Neodiprion lecontei: one gene and its partners. The protein of the gene in region 3 interacts with the protein of the main gene of each other region in a pairwise test. Links are inferred from orthologs where the notes say so. Each region holds a gene or a part of one and is shown on either strand. Other genes may lie near its edges.

The links.
Region 1: the proteins of rac GTPase-activating protein 1 (region 3) and protein ECT2 interact in a two-hybrid assay, tested with the Drosophila melanogaster proteins (2 studies listed by BioGRID). The link is inferred for Neodiprion lecontei from reciprocal best matches to the Drosophila melanogaster genes tum and pbl.
Region 2: the proteins of rac GTPase-activating protein 1 (region 3) and kinesin-like protein KIF23 interact in a two-hybrid assay, tested with the Drosophila melanogaster proteins (3 studies listed by BioGRID). The link is inferred for Neodiprion lecontei from reciprocal best matches to the Drosophila melanogaster genes tum and pav.
Region 4: the proteins of rac GTPase-activating protein 1 (region 3) and anillin interact in a two-hybrid assay, tested with the Drosophila melanogaster proteins (2 studies listed by BioGRID). The link is inferred for Neodiprion lecontei from reciprocal best matches to the Drosophila melanogaster genes tum and scra.

What each region holds. Positions count from the first base shown.
Region 1 is NC_060264.1:21,477,799-21,482,927, forward strand, and holds the start of protein ECT2, read right to left. Parts: upstream 3,060-5,129; 5' UTR 2,753-3,059; coding exon 2,686-2,752; intron 1-2,685.
Region 2 is NC_060260.1:1,077,528-1,085,558, reverse strand, and holds kinesin-like protein KIF23, read right to left. Parts: upstream 6,080-8,031; 5' UTR 5,979-6,079; intron 5,914-5,978; 5' UTR 5,659-5,913; coding exon 5,648-5,658; intron 5,441-5,647; coding exon 4,865-5,440; intron 4,784-4,864; coding exon 4,613-4,783; intron 4,454-4,612; coding exon 4,255-4,453; intron 4,195-4,254; coding exon 4,056-4,194; intron 3,963-4,055; coding exon 3,763-3,962; intron 3,660-3,762; coding exon 3,555-3,659; intron 3,468-3,554; coding exon 3,382-3,467; intron 3,292-3,381; coding exon 3,161-3,291; intron 3,096-3,160; coding exon 2,992-3,095; intron 2,915-2,991; coding exon 2,810-2,914; intron 2,716-2,809; coding exon 2,569-2,715; intron 2,495-2,568; coding exon 2,318-2,494; intron 2,245-2,317; coding exon 2,008-2,244; intron 1,917-2,007; coding exon 1,725-1,916; 3' UTR 145-1,724; downstream 1-144. Other genes in the region: dnaJ homolog subfamily B member 12, read left to right, coding at 1-93; 26S proteasome regulatory subunit 6B, read left to right, coding at 6,135-6,167, 6,402-6,494, 6,587-6,920, 7,100-7,303, 7,397-7,661, 7,742-8,031.
Region 3 is NC_060263.1:5,501,907-5,508,773, reverse strand, and holds rac GTPase-activating protein 1, read right to left. Parts: upstream 4,972-6,867; 5' UTR 4,791-4,971; intron 4,665-4,790; 5' UTR 4,616-4,664; coding exon 4,531-4,615; intron 4,196-4,530; coding exon 3,993-4,195; intron 3,886-3,992; coding exon 3,731-3,885; intron 3,642-3,730; coding exon 3,227-3,641; intron 3,108-3,226; coding exon 2,938-3,107; intron 2,847-2,937; coding exon 2,720-2,846; intron 2,639-2,719; coding exon 2,406-2,638; intron 2,298-2,405; coding exon 2,000-2,297; intron 1,928-1,999; coding exon 1,752-1,927; intron 1,664-1,751; coding exon 1,600-1,663; 3' UTR 1,596-1,599; exon of another isoform or gene 1,497-1,595; 3' UTR 660-1,496; downstream 1-659. Other genes in the region: GATOR complex protein Iml1, read left to right, coding at 37-353, 425-625.
Region 4 is NC_060261.1:15,614,736-15,619,683, forward strand, and holds the start of anillin, read right to left. Parts: upstream 3,109-4,948; 5' UTR 2,619-3,108; coding exon 2,601-2,618; intron 1,680-2,600; coding exon 1,553-1,679; intron 1,486-1,552; coding exon 1,285-1,485; intron 136-1,284; coding exon 1-135. UniProt on the Drosophila melanogaster protein: Required for cytokinesis. Essential for the structural integrity of the cleavage furrow and for completion of cleavage furrow ingression and proper formation of the midbody.

The DNA of each region.
Region 1 (5,129 bases), on a different chromosome or scaffold from region 3:
TAATAACAATAATAATCATGAATAATACTTAAAAATACATATCCTCACCCTGCTATATAACAATATAACGAAATAACATTCTGGTAATCGAAAATAACTATAGCGCCCGCTTCCAAATCTGCGCGGATTTACCGGTCTTTTTCGTTGTCTGCCACGGTGTTCGGGTCAAGATATTTGTCTGCCCTTTCGTATATAAAATTTGGATGACTTCCTGTAAAAGTTTATTTTTGTTCCAACCCTTATAGTATGACGTAAGTTAGATACATTTTCGCGTGTCTTTATTGTTGTCTGCCGCCATTTTTCCAGCGACCGAGGTGTCTGCCATTTTTACTATTCAACTCAAAATATCATTCTCTGCTACCACACAAAAAATTAGCGCTTATGAAATGACGTTTTTCAATTGATTTTTTTAACCCTTTGCACCCCTCCCACCGCGTTCTCCAGTACTGGAGGCCAGGCAGACTTCCGAATCAATTATTAGCTATGTTAAGAGAGTATGACAAGATGGAAAATTTTGTTTATGAAATGACGTAACTAAAAAGTTCACTAGCTCTTAGACTATTACCATCACGTCGCACAACGAGAGAGATGAGCATGAATATATAATATCTACGAGACGTTAACTTAACTAATGTTGTTTGAAACGCACCAGCTTCCGGGGCTCGCAGCAATTTGATACATATTTTTAAAATGATAATGTAAATGACAATAAAAATGACCACTAAATGCACAAATACAGAAAGAACATTTTTCTTGTCCGTTTTAGATTTTGAAATAAGGAGAAGTGGAAAATTATTTTTTCTGAAAACTGATGTAAAATGTTCGCTAATAAATAATAACGATAATAATAATAATAATTAAACTAGAACAGCACAATAAATGAGGAAAACGTACGTTATATTAACGACTGTTATCAATGTCTAGGAAATAGATACATAAATATACAAATAATTTTGTTTGATTAAAAATAATAAAACGATATATCAAGGTTCCGTCAATCCGTCCATTAAAATTCTTGTTTATGCAGAAACGACACAAAGGAGAGAGACAGCAGCGAGTGAACGAGAGGGAAGAAAAATAAGAAAATTATATTTACAGCAGACGTTAAATGCACAGTAAAACTTACGAATTTAGTTTCGGCCCCGACAATGGAATATTTAAATGTATACAGTTAACAGCAATAACAAAATTTCATTGCTCAATTTATGCTGAGTCTTGGGCAAAAAAAAATTGTAATCCCATGGATAAATAATTGATCAAATTTAGCATTTGATTGAGCAATCATTAAATAAGTACCATTACTAAATAAATGAGTCTAAGGCTTTCAATCATATTTCCAGACTAGTTGGAAATTTTCAGCTCCCAGGTCCGTAATGATTCGGTTGAAATTAGAGTGGATGGGTTGGGATGGTACTTAATAACTTTATCTTATCATCAGCACGATCAAAGCTCGCAAGTCTGTCGATCTCGCTCTCACTGCCGTTAAAAAAACATGACATTGTAATTTATTTATCATCATTTTTGTCACAGGATGTCGGGTTAAATTAATGCATAAAATCCTGAAATTAATTTTTCTGGCCTACTAAGGGCTCAATTCTTTAGAATATGTTTTTCATTAATTAAACTAAATCGATTCTAACTTTAAAGGTCAGAATATGAGATTATAGGATATTTCCAAGACCCACTAATGCTGATGACTATTATTTTTTCTCAATTCTCCTGTAAACTTCGACGCGATGGCTTTCATCTCTTAACGACTAATTCACTGCAAGAAAGAAGTTGAATTTAATGAATGTGTTTGAGGGTCATTTTGAAAATCTGTAATGTCAATAATCTTTTTTGGTAAAGTAGGAATCCAGCGTCATGTTACGAACAGGCAACAGCTCTGTCTTTACGAACTACGTCATCGTTCTTCTGGATGGTTCAGAAAACATGTTGGTCTAAAGTTGGCTGAGATTATGTGAAATCTAGTCTGAGCCTATAAATGTGATAATGTGTTTTCTGGCATTAATATGACATTAGTGCCAAAACATCATTTTACTCTTTCTTGGGTACATTGGACATGTTTACATTGCACAGATTTGATAGAGTCTAATGTGAGATGAACCAATCACATGAATAGTTTCAAGAGCATTATCCAAAATTCGTTTCATTGATTAGTTGATCCCAAACATGGCGATGCAGACATGGCCGCTATCGCCCAAAAATGCATAGAATAAAAAACTCATTCGGTTGGTAAAGGACAGAAGCATCGCTCAAAAACAAGAGAATCAAAGCCTCAAACACGTATTAACATGTTTACAGATAACTCTTGGTAAAGGAAGGATGGGAAAGATACATTTGTGATTTTTTCAGAAACATGTCACTCATAGCCATTGCTGAGCTTGTATGAAATCTATTTTGAGCATATGTAAAGGTGATGTTTTTTTCTGGCGTTAATAGAAGATGAAAATACTACCAAGTTATCATTTCACTTTTTATTTTCAATACGTCTACTAAAATCTAGGACATTCCCCGAGTTCCGAAGAACATGGCCCAAAATGCAGAGTAAAGAAAATGACTCGGTCGGTAAGGATGGGCACAAGTATCTGCTGAATTTTTCCCTAGTTTACAGGAAAGTTATGGAGAAGGGACGAAGGGGGAGACACGCGTGTGTGTCTTCAACAAAGTGTGCAAGTAACTTACGTTCGGTGGCGGCCGCCTCTTCACTATTTATATCACTGGTACTGCTGTGCACGCTTTGCTCTTCCATTTTGGCAGTAGTAATCGCGCGTCGAGGTGGCGGGGTCGTCAACGTGTAGAGAGAGAACAGCACAACACAACGTCAGGTACGACGGCGTTTATTTCGCAGTCGTTTTTACGGCTGCCCGAAAATAAGAAGTCCGTCGCCTGTTTCTTCGCGCCTTCTGTTTCTCCCTCTTTCTTCCTCCTCTTTTTATATTGTTTATTCTCTTCTTTTTATTCCTGATCGATTTCAATTTTATTCAAATTTCCCCCTCTCTTCGTAGTTCACCCGTTTTTACCGCCGTTACAGCCTAATTTCCGTTAATTCCAGTTCTCGCCGTAATCGTTTCAACGACGAACCTTTGCGTCAGGTGCGTCCTCCCCTCCTGCCGCTATTCAATTGTTGAGGTGCATGCCTCGTTCCATTTGTCAGAGGCGGGAAAGAGGCGGCAGGGAGAAGAGGAAGAAGATATATAAAAAGAAAAAGTAGGAAGGAAGAGAATATTTTTACTATTTATGATTTACTAGCCGATTGTCTGTTCAATGTCTTTATTGGATATATTTATTATTCACTCGGCTGGTTTGTAGCTGTTGGTTTCTATTTTTTTTTCGTTTTTGTCTAGCAGTTTATTAGTTGATTATCATTAGCAATCGCCACCGCGCGTCGACAAATCGCTCCTCCCGATGATCGTCGTCATCGTCGAGACGACGGAACAGCTGAAACAAAAAAGGCGTCAACACGTTGCAGGTCGTCGCAAATTCGCGGGATTCAACGCATGTACAGTTGCCCCAAAAACATGGCAAACCCCGTTGATATTTGATGGAAAACCCGTTCAGAAAGATTAAAACATTGACAACGGTCATAAAACATTCAATATGAGATTGAGTTTTATCACTTCGAAGATTCAAAACTGCAAAAGATTCAAATTTGTGAACGATCTGAAAAAATTTGAATAATCGGAATTCCAAATCTTTGAATTTTTCAGAATAATCGGAACTTTAGAATGCTTTTGATAGGAGAGATGTTCTGGGGTAATTCCGTCTGCTACCCTAGGCAAATTCTTCACAATTAGTTGTAGGAATAATTCAAAATGCTATCCTTTATAATGCGAATTATTCCAAATTTTGATCAATCAATTCGGCCTGATAATTTCATGTTTATGTGTCATGTATATATATTTAATGATAATTGTCTACAAGCGCATATCTTGTAAACTTTGGGCCGCCGCTTGGTCAGTATATTGGCCAAGCTATAGTTAAATAATCTAAATGCAGCTTATTTGAATATACATGAACCCTAGAGCACATGTATCTTTTTTTCTACCCTCTAACGCGTGAGCAGGTTCACTATCAACCCCACGCGTTTCTCGATTGTAAGATCGTTCTAAAAGCAATAATAGGACTCGTAAGTGCACAAATCTTTTCGTTTTTTAATAAGGAAATGGATGGTGAAGAGCAAATCCGATTTTGTTGAAGTTTAGTTGGTGAAGAATTCAATCAACTACCAAACGGTACTGAAAAAAAAAACAGCTGGAGTGGTTAACAGGACCGTATATACAATCTAGGATTAAAATCAGCGGTGGTCTAAAGGTTCACATCTACAAACAGTTTGAAAAATGCATATCAAAAAAATGTCTAAGGAAACAAAATGATACCGGATATGACTATTGATAGATCGACAGCAATTAATATGTGACTAGTAGCAACACCAAAGAAACCTTTCATGTCAAATTGTACAGTGTTAAGGGGGTGCCCTGGTCGATTTTGACGTCGACGTATATATCTCTGAATATCAAAGTCGAAGTAGCTCAACCCCAAAAAAAAACTTTACAGACCCATTCTAAACAAAATCCTGAACAAAACTACTCCAGTATTTTTTCATTTGATAGAAAAATAAAGAAATAGCATGAATTCCATGAAATTACTACTGCGATTCCATCAGGGCATCATCTTAACCCTTACACTGCATACCTCTTGCGTATAACATTGTCACACCAGGCTCGCTGGAGACCCCGCGTAAAAAATAACTGTTCAGAAACAAAGATATTGATTCAAATAGCTCCAAAAAATTCTGGGATACTTTTTAACTATTATATTTCAAGGAAAATTAGCTATTTCTAGCAAAATGAAATTTTGTAATATGGAGAAAAATAACTCATTGAACATGTGTAAACCAAGGGTGTTACAGAACATTGAACATGCTGTCATTATGACCCCAGTGCGTAGCGTAAGGGTTGAGCAATTAACTTTGGTGGCAATTCGTATGAATGTCATCAGCTAGCTTCAGCGTCATAACGGCAATTGGCAATTATATGAGATGTTTTCCACACAACTTTCAGACATTACAATAATTGAGAACCGATAACTGTGAAAATAGAAAACCACATCCATGCTTTAATTTTTGA
Region 2 (8,031 bases), on a different chromosome or scaffold from region 3:
GCACAAAATTTCGCTGATAGAGAATTACTCCGGAGAGCGCAGAACATTGAAACACCGTCATGTAAAAAATTGCAGGAGATGCAAACAGCATAGTACTGATGATTATTTTACAAAAGATAATTGATTTCATTTTTTGTAGATAGATGTATATTATCTTTGCATTTGTGAAATGTATCGGGTGCAAGAAAAAGGAAAGACAGAGCCAAGTGCAGCCTTTTTACAAAATCCATACTTGATACATGAATTTATAAATTTTCACTTGAGAACAGGCAGAAAGGACGTGAATTGACGTTTTATTGTTATGACGTCATTCATGGCTTCAAGCTTTTCACCACTATTCTTTACAGGTGTTCTATTTTCTGGATATAATGAATCAAACTTAGACTGTGTTTTATCAATTTATATGTGTATGAAAAAGCTATTTATTCAAATTCTTGTCAATAAGAATCTTGCATCAAAAATCCATGTATATTATGAAAAAAACATTTTTTATTATTTTGATTGAATGTGACAACTAGCTTTTCTCATAAATACGGAAGCGATTCACCGTACACTTCATTAGTCGAATTTATGACAGAAATTTTTTATCAAGAATTAGTATTTATTTATTACCTCGTAAAACGTGTTGTTAAATATAGTTACTATGTTTCCCTGGTTTTTAAAGAGAATGCTCAATCAATGCAACTAGCGGAATAGGGATTGTAATTGCCATTTTCAATTCATGCATAGATTCAATGAAAAACAGTTTTAGAGCGTCACTGGTTAATGTTGAACCTTACAAAACAGTTTGACGGAACATTGGTAATAAGAATGTCAAAGGCGTATTTAGTGCGTTGAATGACTGAAAAAAAATTGAAGAAAACTAAGTAAGACTTTTAATATACTCAGAGATTAATTTATTTATTTTGAGTCCGCGAAAATATTTACTTGTATCGATAAATCATAATATTCCTAAAGGTCCTAGAATAAAACTCATAAATATATCAACTTAATCTGAAACGGTTTTATCTGTTTCGTGCAGTGGTTCTATGAAACTGCTTCAACTTCATGACTAGTATTAAATTTACAGTAACATTCTGGTATGATGTGCAAGTCATAATTAAAACTAAAGAAGTGGAACGTTCTACAAAAAAATGTTTGAAGTTGCATTTATTGTATGTAATACTACATCAGTGGAATATATCATGAACACACTTCTGTTGCCATGTCTCACAAAACTTTCATCAAAATGTATCATTCTCATTATGTTGAACTTAAATTCTTCATAGCTCTATAAAATTATTATAAACGTATTGGAAAATGAAATGATCCTACTAACTCGATAATTAGTATGCGAATACAACTAAAATAAAATTCAATTCCGTGTTAATATTTTTTTCTCTTGTGCTATTATAATGAAATTTAATAGCAAATTAAAACTATATTATTTCTTTTTTCTCCTACAGACTACTGATTCATACCAGTAACATAAGTGTGCAAATAACGATTCAAGAAGTACATAACAAACTAAGTGAAGAAAAAAAAACTACTAACTTAAATTTCAACGTTACGATTATAAAAAGAATTAAAATAAGTAGAGGTCAACGATTACATTGTCTGGGAGTGCGATATGTTTGTTATGCGAGGTCACTTCGGAAATGTCATAATTTTTCAGTTAAATTAACAGAACAGTCTTCATACATGTTACTCGATTGATGATAGGAGAGAGGCAAGATAACGACATTCTACATTCGAGGCCTTTTTGTGTGAGCTTCTACGGCCGTAGAACAATGTTCAGAAGAATCTGTGTGTCCATTAATTTGGGAATTTGGAGCTCCGCTACGCTTTCTCCTCGCTGTAGGAGACATTTGCTTCAAACATTCAACGTCGTTGAATACTACTTGAGCGCCACCACCACTCGTTGGAACAATGTCACCCTGCAAAAATATACATTGAAGAATTTAGGAATGAACTACGACGAAGTGAAAATCGAACTATTACTACTAATTTCTAACATTCAGAACTCACCTTGTATAGTTTAGTTTCCAGCTCTCCATCGGTATCGTGTTCTTGGGCTACTAGACAATATCGGGATGCTCCTTCAGTGATAGCTTTTGGATCAGTGAGCCGAGTAATGCTGCGACGACGATTCATCAAAGGTTGAAGAACAGTGCCAACAGGAACTAAAGCTCCGGGTCTGTGGTCAACCCATCTGTCGGCACTCTGTGATCGTCTGTGTCTAAGATTTGCCACTGGCACTTTATCCTGTGAGAAAATGGTAGACTATATGTGAAATGTGTTCTTCGATTTATTCTCTCTATATTTTTTTATGCCATACCTTTCGAGATACATGAGTATTTCCAGATCTTGGCGTTGCAGCTTCACCAGCGTCACTAAGAGTCTGGGGTACAGCTACAGTATCTTTAACAGGAATTCCCAGTGAAGTGCCACTTGTTTCATCTACCAAAATTTGCTTTACAAGGCGCAGTTTGTCTTCTTTTTCTTTCATTTGGTTCTGGAAAAATACAGGATCAAAATATGAATAAATTTCTCCTTGACAACTGTACATGGACACGTGAACTCATATACCTGTAAATGTTGCCGCTGTTGTCGCAGTTTTATATCCAATTCTCGCGACATTTTCTCAGTTTCTGCCTGAATTTTGCTGTTGTATTTTTGCTTTACTCTTTGCTTATCTATTACTCGTTGATTTAGCACCATGTCTCTATCTTTTAACTAAAAGTAGAACAAATATTCATGTATGGTGAAATAAGTAGAATTTGAAAATCGTGTAGTACAAAATCCATTAGAAACTCAAAGTTCAACTCACCTCTTGTTGCAACGTTCTTATTGTATCATTGGCACTGTTCAATTTACGGAGTAAGCTATCTATCTGTGCCTCTGTTTTACAAATATGACCTTCTAAAGCTGAAACCTACCAAGAGAACAAGTTTAATTGAAGATATACTCTACTTGAGGTAAAACACGGACTGAACTGTACGAAGAGATTACCTTCTTTTTCTCCTGGTTATTAAATGCTTTTGCAGATGCATTTTCAACTTTTAGAGTCATATTTTCCTGCTCCAGTGTTAGTAGCATTTTTCTGAAGTCCGTTTCTGAAATGCGATGACAAAAATTAATATGTATGTAACAGTAAACATGGTGGCAAGACCAAACTTACGTTTTTGTTCCAGATCTGATCGTAAGATATTTCTTTTGTTGATGCGCTGCTCCAAGAATTGCATGAGAGTAGTGATTATCTGATCGTTGAGTGGACTATTTATTTCCAATTCTGGGAACGGACCTCCCAAGCTGAAGTGACGGAGTATGGACGATTAAAAAATTATCAAGTAAATAGATGGGCATCTCTGGAGAGCGATATGAATTGGTGAATTATAATACCTGTATACTAGTCCTAGATCAACTTCCAGATCTCCAGTATCAAGTCGCCTCTCTTTCTCCAATCTACTTTTAGCTTCTTTGAATATCTGAGAATTTGTTTGAAACGCCATCATCATTCTCACATGTGATTTCATAACCACCAATATTATTTATATGCAATCTGTGCAATTTACCTTGTTGGCTTGTCTCCGCCCAGGTGTAAAACCAAGGTCCAATTTCGTGGCTGTCGGTCGGGTGACTTGTACCTCTTGGGTCATTTCCGCAAACTTCATTACTTGCTGTCCCATGCATCAGAAGAAAACATGAAAATATTTAAGTGACCAAGGAATGGAACATGAGAAATTGGAGGTACATATTGGATATATGTTTCAACAAACGTACGATTGTCTCATCGTAGTCATCTGCTCTGGGATTGACACAGACTATCATTCGGACTTGTCCTTCACCATCGAAATAATTTTTGAATAGGTGTGTGAGCTTAGAATCTCTGTAAGGAACCATTTTATTTGTTCCTTGAGTTTGATTTTCTCTCAATATTTCCAGGCATGAACGAAGTGTCATCAGCGAATTATTTATGTTTCCTAAATGTGTAAGAAGTTGGCAAACATCAGCTGACGAATTTAAAAAATTTGAAAATTCATTCTTAATACTATCAATAGTTAAAGACAACTTACCTGCTTCTCTCAGTCTTTGACCTGTATTTTTAGTTCGGTTTGTTCGCTCACTTCCGGCAAGATCAACCAGGGAAAGTTGACTAATACAGATCACTCTTTTATCTTGTATTACTTGTTCACCTTGACAGTCTAGCGGTGCCTGGGTAAAAGATTGAGCTATTAGAATAATTCAGGAATAATGAATGAACCCGATGATTACCTGTACTAGTCTAATTGTGAAGACACTGTGTGATCTACTAGATTCTGCGTTTAGAGCTGTGTGAGCAACCCGGCGTCGGCGTTGACCACGTTGAAATACCTCAAATGCTTCTTCAGCACTTTTTACTTCAACCTCAGTAACTGCATGAACATACATATTTTTGTTTCCATCTTCTCGTACGATTTTACTCTGCAGAGATCTAATTATGAACAAAAATAATAGTTGGCACAACCTTCTTAAATTTTAAGCGATTCTTAAAATGTACAAGGTACCCATGCGATTTTGAATTTGAAATTCATCTTTTGTTAAAGTGTTTAAGAAACGTTTTTGACTGTGTGTATGAACAGCAAGTGCTTACTTGACCCTAACATCCTCGTCATCAAGCAGATCATAAACACTGTTGTTATATATTTCAACATAAGTGACAAAAACGGCATAAACATTATCATGTTCAACTGGCAAAACTTGTGATTCATCCGCTTCCCTTATAATCATTGGATTACTGTCACTATCGCTGTCACCTTTTCGACTAAAACAATGGTGAAAAATCTATGATATTAAACATTCAAAAACACTAGAATAACAATTTTTAGAAATCAATCATTCTTACTTGCGACTCAATTTTCCAGGACGAGGAGTCATAAAGCCAGCATGTAGCTCGTTCTGCCGATCGAGCATAGCGTCTGTTTCGCTCTGTACATCAAAGCCATTGAGCTTGTCGGGTTTGAAGACAAACTTCTTGGCCTGAAAGTTGGCGATGCTATTGAATATGACATCCAGAGAGCGTGGCATTATTCCCCCGTTCTGGGGTTCCCCAGTCATTGTGTAAGTCTTTCCACTGCCAGTGACTCCATAGGTGAATAATAGGCTGTTTTTGCCTTTTACAAGATTTTCAATAAGTGGAAGAGCCACTGTATTAAATACTTCTCGCTGCCCAACATCTGGGACGAATACTTGATTGAACGTAGTTTGAATTTCCTTGTAATTTCCGTTCCTGAAATTGGCAGCTGACTCTGGCGATGTTATCACTATAGTTGTGGGAGATATCACCTTCATGCAAGACGTGTCCGACTCATATTGCATCGGCCTTATTCGACAATACACCTGAACCGGGTCTCGACTTGTCAAGTTGTAAGCTCTTGGCCTAGTTGTAGGTTTCCTTGCGGAGGTTGGAGGCTTAGGGCGACTGAAATATTTGAATGATTTATGTGATAAATGAAAGTTTATAGTATGTTAGGCGTTATCATATTTATTTATATAAAGTCTAAATATCAATTAATTAGGGCTGGAGATACGGATCATTCGATAATGCCATGAATAAGATCTGTCAAAATAACCTATGTCAGGCGTTTTTTAAACTTTGACGATTCTGGATATGATAAAACAGACTTACAAGGACTTCATAGTGGTATCCGCCTGAAATATCACTCTCGGTTCAATTATATCCACTTATAATAGTCAGAAAACAACGGTTATTAAACTTTCGATGCACTCCAGGTACGCACGCCTAAAAACTCGTTACGCAAACCGCCATTCAAACTTCAAACAATCTACGCGTATATCACGTGCATTAACCTGTCCTCCAATCACCGCTAAGACTCTCAGCCATGGGTTATGTTTCGTAACAGTTGGAGTATGGTTGGAGTGGTTTGGCCGGTTCTGGGGGTAAGAAGTTCTATATAACAACCATCGCGTGCAAAATTTTCATTCAACGGTGTCCTCACCAGGTAGCGCTGTAACGAGACGAGTACGCTGCATATGTGAACACAGAGATACAGATAATTCTCCATTCCATGGAGTCACGCCTGAAAGATCACAGTCATCGGCCCCTTTGTGATAAGAAGTGACACGAATTGTCAAGAAGCAGCCGTTTTGATAGAATGGAAGAAATTGGGATCGTTTTGCCCGACAAGGTAACGGATTTCATAGAGAATTTGAGGTTTTGCATTAAAATTATTCTTTGAAATCCTGCTCAAAATGCCGTAAAACCGAAATATGTGGAAACTGCCATAACCTCATTGAATGTTTCGTTTGCAGCTGCCTCTAAACTTGTTTTCCTGAAAATATCCTTAAAGTTAGCATCAAATATTGTGCGAATTATACTTACTGAATAACGAGACTGAACAACAACATTATAATTGTTTCAGGACGTCGGAGAGGTTGATTCAAAACCACCCATTGGTCATTATTCCGGAGCGGGTGATGAGCTGGATGTAGAGGACCTCTACACTAAGTACAAGGTGAATAACTTTACATTTTAGAAGAAATCGAATCTGTTTGCTACTTACTTCAAGGATAGAAATTAAAGTAGAATTATTAACTTGTTTTGTAGAAATTACAGCGTATGCTAGAATTTCTTGAGGTCCAGGAAGAGTATATAAAAGATGAACAACGTAATTTGAAAAAGGAGTATTTACATGCCCAGGAAGAGGTGAAACGTATACAGAGTGTTCCGTTAGTAATCGGCCAGTTCTTAGAGGCTGTAGATCAAAATACTGGCATTGTTGGATCAACGACCGGCTCCAACTATTATGTTCGCATACTTTCGACCATAGACCGTGAGCTATTGAAACCTTCGGCGAGTGTAGCTCTCCACAAACATAGTAATGCTCTTGTTGATGTTCTTCCTCCTGAGGCTGACTCCAGCATATCTATGCTACAACCTGGTAAATACAAATTTGTCCAATTATTTTTTAAATATTTTACAAATCCTAACAGTTTTTCTAAATGTTTCATTGAACGCAGTTCAGCAAATTTCAAGTGTGGTTGACTCGTTGCACCTACTGTTTGACTATTATGATGATGAAGTGAAATGTACTGACAAATCAATATTTCTTTGATACAGATGAGAAGCCAGACATCCAGTACAGTGACATAGGAGGAATGGATATGCAGAAACAGGAGATCAGGGAAGCTGTAGAGCTGCCTCTGACTCACTTTGAGCTGTACAAACAAATTGGAATTGACCCGCCAAGGGGAGTGCTAATGTATGGTCCACCAGGCTGTGGAAAAACCATGCTTGCCAAAGCCGTTGCTAGACATACTACCGGTAATATTACTTAGCCATTTTCTTATCACGGCTAATGGATACCAAGCTCACAATTATATCTCATGAATTTTTTTTCTTGTAACTGTCAATCAGCTGCGTTTATACGCGTCGTCGGCTCTGAATTTGTTCAGAAATACCTTGGGGAAGGACCGAGGATGGTACGAGACGTATTTCGTCTAGCTAAGGAAAATTCACCAGCGATAATTTTCGTTGATGAAATTGATGCTATCGCAACTAAGCGATTTGATGCTCAGACTGGCGCTGATCGCGAGGTTCAGCGTATTCTTCTAGAGCTCTTGAATCAGATGGACGGATTTGATCAGACTACTAACGTGAAGGTCATTATGGCAACTAACAGGTAAATTTCTTCGGTGTTTCCGTAAAATTATTCTTGTAATAGTCATTCTGGTAATGTTATTTTTTTCGTGAAATTTTCAGGGCTGATACCCTTGACCCTGCACTTCTGCGACCTGGCCGATTGGATCGAAAAATTGAATTTCCCTTGCCGGATCGGCGTCAAAAGCGACTTGTATTTTCGACGATAACAACAAAGATGAATTTAAGCGAAGAAGTTGATTTAGAAGATTACGTAGCCCGACCGGATAGAATTTCGGGTGCTGATATAAACGCGATATGCCAAGAGGCAGGGATGCACGCAGTTCGCGAAAACCGCTACATCGTGTTAGCAAAGGATTTTGAAAAAGGGTATAAAAATAACATCAAAAAGG
Region 3 (6,867 bases):
CTATCTGATGTTTCACTTTCAATGTGTTTGCAACAGAGTTTCGGGAAGACACCTACACTCAACGGTTGTTCCTCTTCCAAGAAGCCATAGTGCAAAGGTTCGGTTTTGTACCGTGTCTGGTGGAGGGCACTGAAAATGATCATCAATACGTCCACGTTACTGGCAATGCATTTATTCTCGTACCGTCGACATCTTGTATTCGAGCCAGACCACGAACGGATACGAATATAATCAGACGGATAACGGGCCAGAAACGATATCCAGTCCATCCTGATCAATCTAGTCCGCACGAAGCATATATTACAAGGCATGTCAGTGGGAAGAATAAAGATGACTACAGTATGGACAGGAGGGTCGGTATATATACTTAATGTAAATATTTTCTATATGAATTGATATCAACTGTTCGTATTTTTTTATTCAGGTTGGCTTTTTGTGGTCATGGAATCATATGGTCAGTCGCAAGTGGAAATCGTTATCAACATCAGCGACCGGGGATGAGTTGTTTCAAAAAAAAATTATTCAAGATTTTAGAAACTTTTGTTCGAATGCGGACAACAGATTAAGACAGTACTGGGAGTCATGCTGGGAACTCAAAGAGAAAACGTGTTCCCGAACCGAGTAATTAAGCACATCCCAGTGTTCTGAAATTCAATGGCCTCGCTATCTGTTTTCGGGAATTTATTGTACATTTCAAAATACTATACGAGTGCTGGTTTGCTCAGTTTAAAATGATTCAATGAGCAACTAAGAAATACATATGAAAAAAAGTTGGATTAATCGTGGTAGTTTTAAGTGGGCCTATACAGCCTGAAATTCCTATTCTTGCCGTTACTGTACAAAAGTGAAATTTACAGAATATTAAGAATAATATTAACAATATAAGAAAGTCAGGTTTAAATCTTTTATTTGTAACGTCTAAAGTAATACATTAATTAATATTAATATTAACTACAAAGTTATCCATTTTATTAGACATTTTGTATTGAAAAATAAATAAGTATTTCTTTCGACAGGTCCAGATAATTTGTATGGAGAAAAAAAATTACATTGTGATTAGTGGATTTTTAATTTACACGCTGTCATCAATAGTGATCTGATCACTTGTGTTATAATACTTATGCGTAAAGTTGAACAGAAAAAAAATAGAGCTAAATTGTACACTGATTAAATTTGTAATTGAAAAATAATTATCATTCCAACACTATGAAACGGATTTTAGTCCTCATGAGAAACTAGCGCCGATATGTAAGCTCATATTATCAAAAGTAATTATCCAATTTTAATTATGCCAAAAACGAGCCGCATGCAGCTCAAAGAAGGCATTTCATTTAGCTTATAGCTTTGACAAAATATGTCATTATTTGATATTTTAATTCTAAGTATTCGTAAGATTTACTAGCTACAAAGCAAAAGATCAAAGAAGCTTCAGATGAATGGATGCAGAATTGAAAAATATTATCAAATTAAAAAGTACCTGTTATGTGAGTAAAATTCTGCTGGAAAAAAATTTAAATATACGGTTATTCTAGGCTAACTATTACACCTGTAATTTATAAAAAGAGGATGAAAAAAAGAATTGTAAAGCCATTCACCGTTTTAGTACCCGCTTTTTGATGGTGGTGTCGCAAAGTATTTTTTGTTTTTTCTCATGAACGTTCGGCTGGAAATAAATTATGGATTTATAGTATTTAATCTGTGAATGTAACGATCAGTAGTTGAATATTTTTTATATATTGATTGTAGAATACCTTGAACTGATAGGAGTATTGAAAAATCCCCTAGATGCTGTTCGTTTTAAAAGTGACTCTGTAGACGGAGTGTGTCTAAGTTCCCCAGTTTTCGGTGTTCCCACTCCGTTTAGACCTTCGGAGTTGACAAAATTTGCCCAATAATCTGACGGAATCTTCAACAGACTTTCCACTATCTGCAAAAGAACGCAAGTATTATTACTCTAAAATATTCTGAGGATATTTTGAATCCAATGAAAGATACTTACTGCAACTTGGCTTTTAGTTTCACTTAGCATTGAGTTTGGAGATGGTTCCTGGCAGCTATAACCGACAAGAGTTGGTCCGAATACTTTGGCAAGATTAGTGATCGGCATTTTGCATTCTGGACTGCTCGACACTCGCTGCAAATGGAGAATCAAGAATGCTAATGTATCGCGATTCGGTTGCGGTAATTCCGATATCGCTTGGTAAAGAGCAGCATCAGCATCCTGTTTATCAGAAATGGCCGTCGCTCTTGCAAAATCTGCCCATAGTCCAACTGTGATCAAAGGTTCGCGAAGAGTTCTGAATTAAGATGAAAGAAAAATTGTGAGTAAAATACCCTGCATTGCTCAAGGAATTGATAAAGTTATTTGTTGTGGTTTAATCTTTTTCATAATCCGACAAATGTACCTCAAGAAATCTTTCAAAGTTGAACAAATAGTCGGTATATCAATGTCGGAAAGGTTGGGTGCACCCTTTCCTTTCAAAAATTTGTCCTTCAAGCATTTAACGTCGCTCGAACCGCCATTCACCCTGTATAAACCTTGTTCGCCCATTCCCCTCAGTTCGACCTCATTTATGCAGTGTACCACCAGCGACGGCACCATGGGTGGTATCATGGGGGTATAATCTGCAATTGTACCCTAGGAAAGCAAAAATTGCTCACCTTGAATGGATTTCATATTTTTTTTGAATTGAAAAACTAAATGTTGTTCACAACTTACAGAAATACCACGCAAAGTCGGAGTATTTCCTGCAGGTACGCACGGTAATGGTACTAGGTCTTTACATTCGGCGTGAGAAGTAGCTCTGCACTCTCTGCATTTCAAAGCTACGCGTCCGAATCGAATACTGCAATGATAAAGTTGTAGTTGAATCAAATTGCCGACCACACTTCGTAATAGATAATCAAAAATTGTACCACAAAACATCGTTCCCTCACCGTTTGCCACAAGGAGTGCATACTTCTGGCTTGATAACAGTCTTTGCCGTGAAAGTGTGACCCCTGGACGATTTAATGTTCAAAGTATATCCACCGATATTAGGGCTGGGCTTAAATACACCTTCGGAATCTGAACCGGAAGTCATGATGTCGGCTTTTGGAGCTGAAGGCTGTATGCAAACATATATACACGGATTTTATTCAATGACTAGAAGTGTTTGCTGAATCCACTTTCTACTTTCACCATCCTATTTCATTCAACTCCTAAAATTAAGAAAAAAGGACCCACCTCCACGTCCATCAATGGATTTTTTGCATCCATGTGTGAACTTTTTTGTCTGGAGCGGTCAGCACTTGTGCGATATTTGTGGGGGCTCTGTTTTATTTGAGTATTTGGATCTTCATTTTCATTCCCAGGCTTTGCTTCAATCACAGAAGACGCCGTGATGGGTCCATCCTTGGGCAGAACAACAGTAGTTGTCGCTACTATCCGATCTGATGTATTCAAGTCTACAGCTTTCTGAATGCTGCTGCGCCTTTTCTTGGTTGAATATTCCCCGCTTGGTCTGTGCTCTTTCCATTCCCGTTTCTTTTGATTTTGCTGGAGCATGACACTCGCGTCCAAGTCGTCCTCCGATTTTGAAAAACAACTCAGATCGCTAAGCAGAGACCCGGTAGAATCCAATTCTGCTATTGTATTAAGCCTAGAAAAAAAAGTAACGATGGGTTAAAATTAAGACAGAGACTTTTGAAAGTCTTCTGACTTTCCTAACGATGCAATTTAGACTCTTACTTATCAGCGTGATGCAAGTCTTTTAGATGAACGTTGCTGCTGCGATTATTTAATGTTGTATTATTGAGAAATTGCAACTTTTCACGTGTTTCATCATTCAGGTTTCTACCTCCATCGTGTAGGAACAAGTCACGAACCATGGATATTTGTCGTTCCTGTGTAAATAGAATATTTGGCAATTATATCGAATTTTCATCATTTAATAGATACTTATACATGTTCAGGTATTTTGTTCACAACTAGTTGTTGAATTTATTATTACCAACGAGTTACGTTGATCTTCAACGATACGTCGTCGTCGTTTTTCCTCGTCAAGAAGTCGACGAGCATGACTTAATTTTCTTTCTAGATCTGCCGACTCTAAATGAGATTTTTCCAAAGCAGAATGAAGTCGCTGGCATTCCTGTACAGATGCCAACCATTTTTGTCGCATCTCTTCCTGGTTGATAGCAAAGCGCAGAAATTCTGAAACATTGAAAGATCGATACCTTTCTCATACAAGCATAGACTTTCTCTTAGATTCTGAGCACAGTTGAAACTTTCTAAACTTCGACTGGGTTAAAAGAATGAAGGGCTGAATGAGAGATAAGGGTATACGGGAAGCAGCTATCTCTGAAGATATCAGATGTTGCTGCAAGAGTAACTAGAGCACAGACTCCGCTGATGAATTATTCGTGGCTCTCTGTTAGTGAGAAAAGAATGTTCGTCTCAGAATAAAGTGACGTAAAAATTTATTCCGAATGTATGATCGTGGGGGGTAATTTCTTTGGGTAAACGAGGCGTCGATCAAGTGAGCTAACCTTCTTCGCACGATCCGTTGACGAGTACATTGGTACAACGTACCAGCTCATCGTGAGAGGCCAATATCGACAGTGAAGTTGTCATTTCGACAGCGTGAGGCTACCAAATTGCAGTGGCCAAGTACCAATTTGATCTAAAAAAGGAGAAAACGAAGGATGTTAAAAACTGACTGAATCGGACTCGCTGCCGGCTGTGAGTCTGTAGTTTTAGGCATCGTTGGTCCGAGACACAAGACGAGAAAATAATGGTAAAAACTCACCCTGCGTCCACCAAATTCACTTAACCGCTGTAAAACGCACCAGTTTTAATATATCGTTGTAAATACCGATTGACATAGCTCGCACGCGTTGTTGACGATCTCCGAACTCTTACACTATACAAGATACAACCGCCTAGTTTTGAGTTTGACCGTTTGAAATTCAACTAATCAGAAACAAGCGTCGTTGGCTCGCTTCACACTCCTTCGTTTAAAAGTTTCGATTTCCGCCGCACGGTAGCGCCACAGTTGAAGCCAACAAACGGTGTCACCTCGAATTATTTACGATTACTCGAACTACATTTGCCGCAAGGAAACGGCGCCGTCGAATATGAATGTATATCTCGTCAGGTCGTGAGATGTTTTTGATTAAATACTACCGTGCACGAGGGTGTTTCTATTCAAGTGTCAATAACAGTCTGGTTTATTCGTCGCGGAAGAAGCTCGTTAATCTCTCGATCAATCGTGGTATAATGATTCCGATGCTCAATTGTTTGATGCTAGAATTTTCGGTCTTTCGGGTATCAGGGATCGTCAGAGAGGCTTTCATCTTTTCAATTCGGCTGCGAAAAAGCAATCCAAGCAACAAAATGACACGGGAGACTCAACGTGCTCGCATAAATGGAATAACTGAGTAAGTGTGTATAAAACTTCTCTAAAAGACATATATATGAGTAGCTGTTTATCTAATTAAGAGGCATATGAGTTTTTGCCAGCCCATAAGAATTGAGCGAAGTGAGCTGAAAACAAAAACAAACATTCGAACGCGCAGTAATAACACTCGACTGAACTGCGTATATTATTATCATCGAACGATGCTGTTCGCGTTTCAGGGAGAAGAATTAAAGCGAATCGTCACGTAATCGAGCATCTTGCAGCATCAATTATTCGAAATAGTTTTACCCGCTGGCTCGAGGATGGTGGATCAAATCTGTGGGAGAATAGGAAGTGCCTGCTTAGTGGGTGGCAGTGCGTTATTCAGGTATGATTGAACTCGAGCTCTATTTGTTATGTTCGCATCAATTTCACATTCTTACCCCGTCGCTTGTTTATACAAAATCACTGCTATATGTACCTGAAATACCCATATATCCGGCGGTTATGCGGTGTATCTATACTAAAATGTAGAAAATCCTTTGTCTATTTATCACTTTGTTACCGATACAGTCAAGAATCAGTGAACCGGTTTACATGGGGCTTGAACCAAATTGTTTCTTAGGTCTGCCCGAGTAATATAGGCTATATATTGAGTTGTAAAACATGGTCCAATTAGTAATATGTAGGGAAGAGGCTCGACAAATAGGCCCCTTAAGAAAGGAATAACGTTAGACCAATTTCGACGACGCAATTTTCTTGTCTTCGGCCTAAAATAATATTTTAAACGTTGTCGATATTTTTGAAATCCCATTTGATTGTACAAGGACCCATTTTTCTCGCTAATACCCATTTTGCCCACATCTCCCCCTAAGTGTATACGTATTTCCAGAAATTTCCATCTTCGTGCTTCCCGGTTGTTTCTGTACGGGAAAATCTGGAGCCTGGAGGCTGAGGTTGAATCTACCTTGAGCCGTTCCACTTTGCTGCATGTACGTTTTACCGTATCCAAGGATCCAGCTTCGGTGAGTTTGGCTTTTCACGTATTTACCAGAATATCTTATACCTATGCAGTGGCATCTCTTTTTTTACATCCTGCCTCTGGACGCATTAAATCTTTGACACACGGATCAATGTATCTGCATAATTAACGGGTATATATTGAGGAAATTCTGGATAAAACTTTGACTTAAATAATAGTAGCGACGGTTGCCTGTGTACAGGCGAAATTGATTTCCAAACATCTTGATTGGAATTTGCTAGTAGATTAAGTCCTGTTACCGTGCGTAAAAATTTGTCTGAAAATTCAAAAATTTCATTCACTCTTGATTCGCAAATTTATGAACAATTCCCTATAAAGAGTTGTAAGTATTGCTACTGCCAAAAGCGATTAAGGCTACAATCATCAATTATACCAGATTTGAATGAAAAAAAAATTCGATACGTTCTCATTTTTTAGACTCACTTTACCATTCCTGCAGAGTAA
Region 4 (4,948 bases), on a different chromosome or scaffold from region 3:
TCGTAGAAGCCAAAGCAGCGAGTCTGCCCAATCTTGCACCTGGCTTAGCAGCTTTTCGATCGGTCGACTCTTCTTCAATTGCAAATTTTTCCTCTGTTCTGTGAATTGGCGAACTCAACTCACGGCTGCAATCCTCTGAAGAAATATATGTTCAAGTAATTCGATACATCACATTTGCAATCCTCAAAGCTATACTAAAACACTGTTCAATATTTTCTAATATAAATCAAAACTCCAAATGAATCTTAACTACTGAAAAGAATAGGTAATAAAAAGATTGAAAGTTTACGATATTCTGTCCTGAAATTTCTCGAACAGGAAAACATTTTTTACATCCAAGTTTTGATGGTTGTCAGATTTTATTATTGTTATTAGGATATCTCATTGACTTAGATCTGATTTTTCTGTTCACTTCAAGTCATAAAACTTAAGTCACAAATCATTACTTTTGTTTCGCAGGCAAAAGATATTTTCAGAAATTTTCAGTAATTTCTAAAAATTTACTCAGAATGCATATTTCTAAAAGATTTTCTATTTCGCTTAAAATATTTCAGACAAATTCGCATAAATTCCTAGGAGTTGTTCCGAAGTATCTCAATTTCTGTGCAGAAAATTAATTTCAACAGGTTTATCGAAAAACTTCGATATTTATTAAAAATTACTGTCAAAAATTTTCACACTTCTAGTTTGACTAAAATTATTGTTTTAGATATATCCAGATTTTTCAATGGCATTTCAGAAACATTCATATGCAACTGTTTCCTATGAAATTCCATACCGAAGTATGCTCAAAAAATATACAGGAACACCAGAAATCCGATTTTTTCAGATTTGTAATGCAAAATGGAGTTTCAAAAAAACTTGAGTTTCTCATAGAAATTGGTACAATTTTCACCTCTAACTTCACTTGGACAGAGACAGTCTAGAAGACAAAAATCTCAAGTTTATCAGATCTTTAAAAACTCTGTGGAATTTCTTCAAATCCCTTAGACTGATAGAATAATTCAAACTATTCCAGAAGTACTACAGAATTTTGCTTAGGACAGTCCAAAAACTAGATATATTTCTGAAAAATTCATTTAAAAAATTCTGAGAACTTTCCAATAATTCTCTCACTTGGGAATATAGTGATAATTAAAAGGTATGAGATATTGTGATCGGTACTTATTACAGATAGATGCTATGGCATCTGCCATAGTAGTACCATATCTATATTGTATGCAGGAACCAGTTTATGATATCAATGTGTGTAGGTGTGACAGCACCAACCAAGCAACAACTTACCAGAGTATAGCTTGCCCAGCCTTTGTAGTTTGGATCTGACACCGGATATTTGAGTCTCTCCATTCTCTTTGTTGGATACTTTGCCTTCTTGAGTTGTGATAGGAATTTTAGTAGGAGAAAATTTTCTCGGTGATTTAATCGGCGATTGCTTAACGGGAGAATCTTTAACCACTGGTTTAGCTGCCACATTGTGTTCCAGTACTAAAAGGCACAATACAACATCAAATAATGCAAATTGAACATGAGAGACACAAATGAATTAACGTACCTGGAGCCTGTGCCAAAATGGCATTAGCATCCTTCAGTGGACTGCGCCTCTTTTTGGGATCATGACCAGCATTTGACAATTGCGTGTCTAATTTTTCCCTCCTTGCTTTCGCACGCTCCAACATTCGCTAAAGTAAGCCAAAAAACTCGGATATCATAATTCACACGATGATGGTAGTAGATTAGCATAATAAAACAGTAAGAGGTATAATTCTGTACTTTTCTCACTTCTATTTAGACTTTTCATACATGCAGAAGAAACATAAGGGATTATTTTCCCTAATTAGCAAGTACAAAATCTGGCCAGGAAAGTTTTGAGCAGCTAAAATAATGAAAAGGGGTCTCAGACCTAGTAGTTGAGGTTGATAAGGTTTAATTTAACTAAAACAATATTATCTGAACACAGAGGAGCAGAAAAAATCGAGAAAAGCCCAGTCGTGGACAACAATTTTAATAGCACCATATCTTTGTTTTTAACCGAGAAGTGTGAAAAATGTGTCAAACAAATTCGAGAGCCTTTGATTACTGTCTAGACAAAGTAAGCTTTATTAAAATTAGACGAATTGGTGTCCGCAGAATGCAACAATAACCTAAAATCTCGATCTATGTTAAGGGTTAATTGCTTTATATTTACACTTGATTCAACTCAATTCGATCAAGACTAATTTCGCTTTGTGTTAGTATTGCTGAATAAGATTAAACCACAGAGAAATGCAACAGTCCATATGAGTTTAAAGTTCATAACGTTATCCTAACGATGCATATTCATGTGAAATAGTTATTTCACAAAATTAGTATGGTCTGAAATTCAATAAGACGTGACAAAACTATGCAGACTCAGATTTTGCAAACCCAACTTCTTCGAAGTCTTTCTAAACTGTCAAGATAGTAAGAGTTTTTCAATCGTGAAATTGTTGGGACCAGGCTACCTGGTTCATAAATTTTCTTTAGGATCACAACGGTCAACACGTGTTTGTATCTTACAATCCTATTCAATTCCAGACAAATAATGCCTCGGATCAGGTATAATTCCGCATAGCGTCGCTTACCTGAGTGAAGGGATCCATTGTTTAATTTTGGGCAGAAATTTAGAAAATTTCAGCACGCACGCTTGAAATCGTGACCCGACGTTTTCCGTCCTACGAAGAGCTCAGAGCGACGCGAATATACTTATTTATCTCGGGAAATAAGTGCAATAATATCAACGCACGCCGCGCCCTTCAACCGAACTCTTCAAACTGTCAACAACCGTTGCATTCAAATGCAACCGCCATTTTACGCGTTACTACGCTCACTGAAGTGGGATCACCGATGAAATTCAAAACGTCAATATCTCCTTCGATTCTGATCATAAACTTGTCGAACTTCACAGTTGTGGAAAGAACTTCATCGGTTATTTATTATCCTTTTTCAAACGAGATACGAGTTTGTCTTCCAATGTACCGGCCCGTGCAATTTGTTGCGACGATATATTTTCCGAAGTTAAACGTGATCTTGCCGTTCATTTGGGTACTGAATACCGACTCAATACTGACTGCTCGTTCATTCGCATCCTGTATAGAGCCCAGCCACCCGACGAACGAAGGCCCTATAGTGGGGGAAGAACGTTCGAAAGTTTAAATTAACGGGCTTTCATTGGTCGAGTTGTTGGAATAAATGCCTAACCGTTATACGTATTACAGATTATATCTCTACGCGTGCGCACCGGATTTGAACGTTGGTCATTCGAATTTTTTTGTAACTGGTTAATCAATCCGCAAAGGTGGTAAATTGTTCACAAAATTTAGTACGAGGTCCGAATCCCCTCATCCGCGTTCTTCCTTTGGGGAAAAGTTTTCAGATATTTCTCATAATTTTGTTGATAAATTTGATAGATAGTTTTCTAACATTTCTGAGAAAAATTCTGTACTGTATACAGTCGAGGGTTCTTAGGAAAACTAAGAAACTCGGAGAAATTTCCATTCTAAGATAATTCGTAAAAATTTAGTTTCAGTCAACGCTTGACAACCAAATGCAGCACCATTGGTCAAAGAAATGTATTCAACCCCATAAAGTTGTTGCTGGGATACCTGCAAATGTTTTTGTGTTATGGAATTTCTTCAAATAACCTCGTAATAATAAATATACATATAAATATTGAAGCCTGTATCTGAGCGTCAATCGATAGTTTATATTGTAAAAGAAGCTACTCAAGATTGAATTTGGTGAACATTATAATGAGAATTTTAAACGACGTTTGACAACTCATGCACCCAGTTCTGTGAAAGTAATATACCATAATGATTATCATATATATACAGGTAAAAAACTAGAATGGAAGAGAACATCATACGGACTTTTCGGCCGAATACCCTAAGAATTCATCCTAGCGAACCAAATTTCGAAACTGCAAATCCAAATATTAAGATGGATTATGTTGCAATACTATTATTCATTGGGCTGGTGGCTGTGCAATTGCTCACGAGCGCCTTTATTGGATACATTATATCAACCATATACTGATAATTTGTCTCACGAGTTTAATAAAGATCACTGAAATAAAATAATTGAGACCCTGATTTGGCTACTCATTAATCATATACATAATGATTTCCTTTATATTGCGATCGAATCAGTTAAAAATTTTGTCAGATGAAGTATAAATATACTGATAGTAACTGTTGTCAAGTGATTGACATTAAGATTATTTTATTATAATCTTGTCTGAATTGAAATATCGAACGAAAAATTCCAGCACTCTGCTGTTGCATAGCCAAACGATTATTATAGAACTGTTATAATATTCTATCATGATTAATATTATTACAATTCAAATTTCAACACTTCATATACTATTTATTAGCTGTAACATGATTATTTCAAAACATTGTATTGATTTTTATTTCTATGCATATAGAACTATGTACGTATTCAAATGCTTGTTATGTACTTAAATTAGATATTTATTATATTATACTACACACGGTTTCATAATAATAATAATAATGGCATGACTAGACAACGACTAAATAAGTAAATATACAGATGTTTCGGATATCAAGATTAGATCCAGGTAAATATTTAATTTAAATAATATCAAATTGTTAGTACATTATATCTCTCTATATGGTTTATAATCTCAGTCGATCGATTTCCTTTACATATTACACATCTGATTTGAATTTGGTATTTCTCTATTTTGTAAATTGGCCAAAGATATTCCAAAATCATGGCTTCAGTCTAAGAAATTTTAATGTGCGCTATATGCATTAAATATAGGTTATAGCATTATGATTTGTGCTGTATCACCACGGCAGTCAGTATATTTTACATGTTGTAATGCGCGAAAAAGAGCCTTATCAGATCCTACTCCTTAAGTAGACTTCAAAGAGCTGAGAGAATCGTGGCGTTATTTAAT